Linked DNA regions of Caenorhabditis elegans. The protein of the gene in region 1 interacts with the protein of each later gene in a pairwise test. Each region holds a gene or a part of one and is shown on either strand. Other genes may lie near its edges.

The links.
Region 2: the proteins of rpn-10 (region 1) and rad-23 interact in a two-hybrid assay, tested with the Caenorhabditis elegans proteins (3 studies listed by BioGRID).

What each region holds. Positions count from the first base shown.
Region 1 is NC_003279.8:10,730,179-10,734,261, forward strand, and holds rpn-10 (26S proteasome non-ATPase regulatory subunit 4), read right to left. Parts: upstream 2,247-4,083; 5' UTR 2,214-2,246; coding exon 2,188-2,213; intron 2,137-2,187; coding exon 1,996-2,136; intron 1,677-1,995; coding exon 1,175-1,676; intron 1,122-1,174; coding exon 750-1,121; 3' UTR 534-749; downstream 1-533. Other genes in the region: B0205.8 (TFG domain-containing protein), read right to left, coding at 1-40; B0205.12 (YtxH domain-containing protein), read left to right, coding at 297-371, 422-499; mrpl-9 (Large ribosomal subunit protein bL9m), read right to left, coding at 2,460-2,615, 2,663-2,986, 3,035-3,159, 3,210-3,375, 3,421-3,480; kin-3 (Casein kinase II subunit alpha), read left to right, coding at 3,861-3,899. UniProt on the Caenorhabditis elegans protein: Binds and presumably selects ubiquitin-conjugates for destruction. Required for protein degradation and ubiquitin-proteasome system (UBS) function and regulates proteasomal subunit expression. Involvement in UBS might be cell type specific.
Region 2 is NC_003280.10:11,650,761-11,654,706, forward strand, and holds rad-23 (UV excision repair protein RAD23), read right to left. Parts: upstream 1,970-3,946; 5' UTR 1,969-1,969; coding exon 1,897-1,968; intron 1,851-1,896; coding exon 1,767-1,850; intron 1,718-1,766; coding exon 914-1,717; intron 860-913; coding exon 848-859; 3' UTR 502-847; downstream 1-501. Other genes in the region: coa-7 (Cytochrome c oxidase assembly factor 7 homolog), read right to left, coding at 1-243, 290-388; rpn-12 (26S proteasome non-ATPase regulatory subunit 8), read left to right, coding at 2,367-2,456, 2,501-2,556, 2,603-2,678, 2,752-3,147, 3,199-3,333; nep-1 (Neprilysin-1), read right to left, coding at 3,713-3,812.

The sequences.
Region 1 (4,083 bases):
GATCTTTGAAAAGTTCATCCAAGCTTGTACTTTCTGTCATATTCCTTTTATAAAGCTGAAAATAATAAAATTTCGGAAATTCCAATTAATTGAAGAGCGTTCGAAAAAGATTATCAGTAGAGCGCACTTGCTTTTTAAGCGGTGCGTCATTTTTTTGCTGATTTTATCGTGTTTCCTTTAAAATATTCAATTTAATTTAATTGCAATCTCAATTTACATAAAATTATGTTCTTAATGATTATTCCTAAATGTATCACATATTTTATCTCTGAAAAAATCAATAATTTCAGTAAAATATGGGTCTCTTCTCGCATCTCCTGACGATGGGGCTTGGAGCATACGCCGGAGCGTACTTTGCACAGAATTATGAGGTTATCTTTTATTTTGATTGATTATTGATAATTTATTCAACTGTTTTCAGTTACAAAAGCTTCCATCGGCCAGCGAGATGATGAAGAATGTGGAAGACTATCTGAAGCAATACAAAAAGGATCCATGACACCACTCCCATAATCAATCAATATCTAGAATCTAATCATGAATAAATTTATATTTGCCACAAAAAGTTTATTTTCACATCGGTCTGGATATACAGGAAAATACGTGATGAAAAATGAGAGATGGAATAAATTAGAATTACGCAGCGGGGAAGAAGAAGTTGGAGACTGAAAATCATTCACTTGGGGTGGCTGGATGGTGATTCAATAATAAATAGGATAAAATACAATAAAACAACTTCACAGGGACATTTATTTCTTCTCCTTGTCATCATCCTTCTCCGCATTTGCAGCAGGAAGATCGTCCACAATTTGCTGCAAAAGTTCTGGGTTGTTCATCAAATCATCAAGATTGTCTCCTCCAACTGCTGGAGCTCCATCCACATCCATTTGTTCGTGTTGTACTTGTGGCTGCTCAGCCGGAGCATTTTCCTGCATTGAAAGACGAAGAGCCCATTCCAATTGTTGCTCTTCAGTCATCGCTCCCATGTCCATTTCTTCCAATGGAACAGCAGCAGCCGCAGCAGCAACTTCGGCATCAGCTCCAGAATCCGCGGCACCTCCATTTGCAGCAGCGGCGGCGGCTTGACGAGCTCGTTCCTCTTCCATTGAGACACGAAGAGCCTAAAAAGAATAATAAAATGATTTTCCAACGCAACCAAAAAATAATTTCCTACTAAAGCCAAATCTGGATCATTTTCAACATCCATTCCGAATGCATTATCCATTCCGTTTCCACCTCCACCGAATGCAGCTTGCCCATCTTCATTTTTGCATACACTTGACTGCAACAACGCGTCTGTGAGGGAAGATCCTTGTGGAACAACGATCAAGGATGAGCCGCTGCCTTCTTTTCCGTTCAATGTGTCCACGAATGTTGAGAATTTCTCATGTCCATCGGATTCATTTTCACCGAACATGATGACGTCGCACAGAACCTTCTCTTTCTTCATTTTCTTTGCAATCTTCACGAGCTCATTCATTTCAATTTCCTCGAGAGGTGATCCGATGAAGAGAACAACGCGCATCTTATGATTACGGTTTTGACGATGTTTCAGAGCAAGATGAGCAATCTTGATACCGGCGATAAAGTTGCATTTTCCGAATGGCTCAATGGAATGATTCTTCATCATCAAACGTCCTTGTTCTGTGGACAGACTTGACAATACTTGAACACTGCTGAAAAGGAAAACATTGAAAAATTTCATGTGTTACCGGAAATCAGTGATTTTTGCGCCAAAAAACGGTACTGGGTCTCGACAGGACATTTTTCGCTAAATACAAACGGATGTGCACCTTTAAAGAATACTGTAACTTCAAACGTTGTTACTGAATTTTCATCGATTTTCCAATGAAAATTCTAGAACGGCGAAAGTTTGAAACTACCGTACTCCTCAAAGGGGCACACCTTTTTGCATTTAACAAAATATCTTCGTGTCGAGACCAGGTACCGTCATTTTAGCGCAAAAAAACGTTCGAGTTTGAGTAATATACGAACTTTGCCATTGACAGAATTCCAACAGCATTCTCCGGATTGGCACGCAACTTGCATTGTGTAACAAGATTTACTGCATCCTGTTGAGATTGGAGCCGAGTTGGTTGGAAATCTCCGTTGCGCATGTATTCCGAATTGTCGACACTGAAAAGTAAATAATATTGCCATTGTTCGTATTATTCAAGAAAAACTCACCAAATCATAGTACTTTCTTGAACCATTTTGGAAATGTGTTGAGCACCTTTGTATGAACTCTGTAGAATGTGAGAAATAAAATTAAATTTAAAACAGTTTGACGAATAAATGAAGGAAGATATTAAACGGTGATTAAACCGTGAGCAAATAAATTAAAAATTATTTGAAGAATCAAATACAAATAAAATCGATTTTTTTCAAACAACAAAACAAGAATAACAAAAATAAAGAATTGAAACACATTAAATCTAGTCTGATTGATTATTAGAATTCTAATGTGGAGTTGTTGGTGCATGCTCTTTCATGTGCTCGAAAATTGGGAAATCTTCCGTGAAATCGTTATTTTTACTGTACAATGGGAACTCTTTTCGGATGGAATATCGAGCCAATTCCTCGTCACGTGGTGTTGTCAGTGTAGGAGAAATCATCTGAAAAAGGGAAATTCAATAATTTTCTACAACTTTTCAATCTTTACCTGTTTGGATTCATCTACTGAAATATGTGTAATCCTTCCTAACATAGGAACAATGTATTGTTGATTTACAACAACGTAGAATCGGAATAGTTTTGCTTCGATATCAAAATTCGGGCCAGAAATTGGTTTAGCGGCGAGGAAAATTGTATTTTCAGCAACGAAAACTCCCATTTGACGAAGTGAGCTTTTTACAAGATTCCTATCAATCGTCCATTGATTTTCCATATTAACTTTGATTGGAATGACCATTTTTTGCAAATCTCGTCCAACCACTTTGAGCTCATATGGAATTCTGATTCGAGAAGCAAGTTCTTCAGCCATTCGCTGAAATTATTATTTGATTGAAAAATATAAATTAACATTAAAACCCACTGTTTTCATATCTGAATAGTACTTTAAATCAAACGGCGACGCGTAGACGGCTTTTTTAGATAATAGTAAATCCTTTCGGGCCAAAGTCCGATCCACACTAACCACATCGAACTGATGGCCAATTCCTGTAAAAATGAATTTTTTACATTTGCTTTCTTTTATTTTAAAAAACTACCTTCAACATCTTGAAGTAAAATCACATTAATCGGACCAGCGGATTTTTGTGTTTCGAACTCAACAACTTCGTATTTCTGGTAATCGTGGAAATCATTGGGATTTTTCTGTACTCCGCCGGGCGGTGTGACTTCTGGTTGGAATACTCGGCGCAATACCCATGTGTTCTGAAGAAAAACATAAAATAACTTATTAATTGCTTCAGAACTTACTCGGCTTGCCTGGCGATTAATATGTTGCACAAATCGATGAAGCTGTGAAGCTGAAAGCATAATTACCTGAAAATATCAATTTTAATTAAGTGTTTCGCTGAAAATAAAGTGATTTCATTCTAAAATACAGAAATAGATGAGAAAAGAAAATGCGCGCCGTTGTCGATGATGACAAATTTAAAGGCACACCGACTTTCGCAGCGGGAATATCTCACCACGCACGAGTTCACATTTGGTTTTTTCTCTGCGCTCTCTCGCATTTGCGTACTCTTTTCATGTTCTGGCATGTATTTTCAAAATTATTCGGGTTTTATCAGTTTTCCCGAGATTTTACTATTTCTACTGAAAATTTCGTTCTAATAATTCAATTATAACAGCCGTTTTGTCAAAACTTGCTCAAAAATAACGTGTTACTTGTTTCAGATCGTTATTCTTGGGAAATGCCTCCGATTCCTAGCCGGGCGAGGGTCTACGCCGAGGTGAGCAAGTTTGTATAGCCAGGAGTTAATTATTGAACAGAATATATTGCTCATACATAACTCACAATGACGGAATTAACGTTATCCGTTTAGTTGTGGAATACTGTGAAACACTGTACGCCACATTTGTTAGATTTTATAAATGTTCATAGGAATTTATAGTCTCGTAAAGAAAAACTATTTG
Region 2 (3,946 bases), on another chromosome or scaffold:
TAAATATCGACATCCTTGTGGAATATTCGCATCACATGCGATTTTCATCGGTCGAATCATTTTTGACAGACTTGCATCGTCTCCAACTTTTCCGGCTAACATGTACATTCCGTACTTGAAACATGACTTTGGATAACTGTTCTCGTCACAGTTCTTCTTGAAAATCGCTACGGCCGCTTGAAAATTTTGTTGCAGAGCTTCCATGTATTCGCCGAGCAATTGACAGGATTCTGGCCTTTTTTCCTGAAAATTTAACTTCAAAGAAAGATTGAAAATTCAAATTTCTCACTTCGTAGCATCCAAATCTGTACTCAATCCCAATATTTTTCACATATTCCGCCCTTTCGGCCTGTTCCTGCATAGCTTCTTCGCTTATTTTTCCAGACATCTTCAAGTAAAGTGAATTAGCGCATATTCAGAAGAAATGAACGACCGATATTGGAGTACGAAATCGTGATGACTCATTGGGTAAAGTTTGATAAATCGAAACGAAGAATCATTAAAACATTTGACTTTCATTTGAAAATGTTGGATGACAAAAGGGAATTACAATACCGAAATTATGTCACACAAAATTCGCTGAACGCGACGAGAATTTCAACGAAGTGCCTACCAGTAGCGGGTGACAATCAGCACATGGAACTGAATGTGTTATTATCTTAAATATATAGACAAAGGGCAATCGAGAAGGCGATGAATACACATTCTTGGAAGAAGTGTTAATAAAAAAATTAGGCTGATAGGAGCAAGAATATAAGCTTTACGGAAATGGGGGAGAGAGAATAAATTAATTTCTGTTGCAATTTCCAGTGACGGTGATCAGAAGTTATTGGCATGGGTAAGATAATTATTCCTCATCCTGAAATAATTAAAAATTAAACTTCTAATTATCTACGTATGGAAATAAACTCACGAGGTTGCTGAAAATAAAGTTGATAGCGGCTTCCTCGTTTTTGTCACATGCGAAATAAGCCTCCACAACCACAGCTTCTGGTGCATTAACAACTATGGCTTTGATTCTCTCAATAGCAGCAGCTTCTTCGGGACTGAGATGGATAACATGGCGACGTGGGGTGTTTCTTTCTGGCGCATTTCCTGCAGCGGCTCCGGCTCCTTGAGCTCCACCATTCAAAAGATCCATGAAAGCTTGCTGGTTGTTCTGAATAGTCTGAACAAGTCTTGGGTTGACAGCAGCCAACTGCTGAAGGACTGCGGCGAGCATTTCAGGATTTTGTTGAATCAAAGCTCTAATTTCTGCAAGCTGTGGCATGTTTGCAAGCATGTTAAGATCGTCATTGCCATCCTCATCCACGTTATCGATGTTTTGCTCGGGCCCCAAATCTGGTTCTTGGTCAGCAGCATCATCAGGAAGTCCGTTGAGAAGAAACTCGACTGCGCGGTCTGGATTCCAGAATGCTGCGCGCAGAGCAGCGATAGTTTGTTCACGGTCATAGCCCATTCCAGTGATTGCGAGAACGTTCTCTTCTTGCTCATCCGTAAGCGCCTCCGCCTCAGCAGGAGCAGCAGCTTCAGGAGCAACATCGGCAGCTGGGGCTGGGTTTGACGCAGGAGCGGCAGCTACTGGAACAGGCTCAGCAGCTGTGGCAACGGTAGATGAAGGTGCAACTTCTGTGACTTTCCTTTTGCTGAGCATCACAACAACGAACTTCGAAGAATCGAATCCGACTTCTCCGACCTTCACAGAATCGTCGAGAATCTAAAAAAAAAACATACTTTAAAGATATTATGAGCCTTCACTGTAATACCTTTCCGTTGTAGATTAATTTTTGAAGTTCTGGAGCATAATCATCCCCTTTCTCCGAAGCGACCAGAGCCTTTACTTCCGCAATCTGAAAGAAAAATAAAATACAAGTCGAACATTAACTCTAATCTTACCGTCTGATCTTCATTCAATTCCAAATTGAAGTTAACTTGTGTGAGAGTCCTGAATGTAACGGACAAAACCATCCTGCAAAAAATTGTGAAATGTTACGAATAGAGTCATGTATTGAAAGAAAAAGAAATAAATATCGATAACAGATTGATATTAATGCAAAACAAGCAGTATATATGTATAAAATAAACAAACATTTGATTATTAATAAAAGAACAAAACAAAAAAACCATTTTGAAGAACAAAATAAGTGGTAAAAAACAGAAGAGAAAATGGCTTGGCGTCTTAAAGGCGCACATGATTTGAACACTCTTCGTGGCGAGACCTGCCAGAATTGTCATTGTGTCGATTTACGGAGAATGCGTTTATTTCTTTTTTGAATGTTTTATTTTTATTTTTTAACTTCACTTGTGTTTATCGTGAACTTTTATCTTCGATTTTATCAAATTAAAACATTATTGGATTTAAGAAAATGTCTGCCGCCCATAAAAATCTTCTGGCTGTGTGGGCAAAGGAGCCAAAAGATCTTGTCGCAGTTGAGAAGGCTCTGAATGAGTTGACGGTCAGTTAATTGTTTGTCAAATTGTAAATAAATTGAATTTTCAGAAGGTTCTCAGTGCCTCCAGCGATTTGAATGATAAACAGTCTGCATTGGCTTCAAAGTAAGATTTTTCTTTGGTGTAATGAGTTTAAATTATTAATTTTCAGAGATTTGTACGAGATTTCGGTGCTCTTGGCAATTCTGAAGCACGATTTCGAAACGTTCGACGATTACATCAATCAGGTGAGTCTTTAAATAATTATTTGGAAAATTTATGTAATTTTTAACGATCTGTAAATTATTTTTAATTTTCCAGATGCATACCTACTATACAATGGCGCCAGAAAATTCTGAAAACAAGCATTTAATGACTGGACTCCATCTGATGTTCCTGCTCGCTGCCAACAGATTGTCCGACTTCCACATGCTCCTCGAACAAATTCCACAGAAAGAGCAAACATCAAACGCTTACATCTCTACGCCAGTTCGTATTGAACAGAGTCTCATGGAAGGAGCCTACAACAAGGTTGTGCTCACCGAGAAGAATATTCCAAGCCCCTTCTACACTATTTTCATTCGTATTATGCTTGACACCATCCGTCGCGAAATCGCAACATCTATCGAGAAGTCTTTCAAAGTTCTGACAGCGAAGGATGCCACGGTCATGCTTCTGTTCGACAATGACGAACAAATGAAAAAGTTTGGACAAGAGGTAATAATGATTTTTAAAGCTACAAGTATTAAAAAATATATTTATTTACAGAGAAAATGGCATTTGGATGGAGAGCGTTACGTTTTCGAAATTGAGGTGGCTCAGGAGAAGCCTGTGAATTTGGATACAGTGCGAGTCGCAACTCAAACCCTCTTCTACGCCAAGCAACTCGAACAAATCGTTTAACCGGTGTCTTTCAAGAACTCAAGCATTGTATTTGTAAACTGATTTTAATTTATTCGCGTCTTTTTCTCGGTACTGTAAGAAAATGAACTTTCCGATGCATTGTTTTAGCAAGTTTTAATTACATCTGAAAATTTTATTTGCACAAAGATTTCTGGAATGAACAAGAACATCTATCAATATGATATACCAAAAAAAGAAGTTGGAAAAATTCGAGAAAAAATACATAGAGGGACAAAATACAGTGAATTCGAGTGTCTATTGTTTTCAACAATATATACAGCTAGATGAGTAAAAAAAAAGGACGAAAGATTTAGTAGATTCTGAGAGACAGATAGATAAAGCGTGCCAACTTGGTTGACTCCTTTCCCGTATTTTCTGATTACCACACAACACAGCGTTTCGTTGGATTCATCGGAGATCCAGCTGGACATTTGAAAGCCTCGGCAAATTCTGGCTGATTTGTTAGAACCGTGTTCACTCTGAAAAAATTATAAATAATTGTTGCCAAAAAAGTTGAATGAACGATGATGTGTATTGCGTAACATATTTTTGAATATCTTGTAGCGAAAACTACATGTAAATAGTAAATCGTCTACTTATGGAAATAAACTCA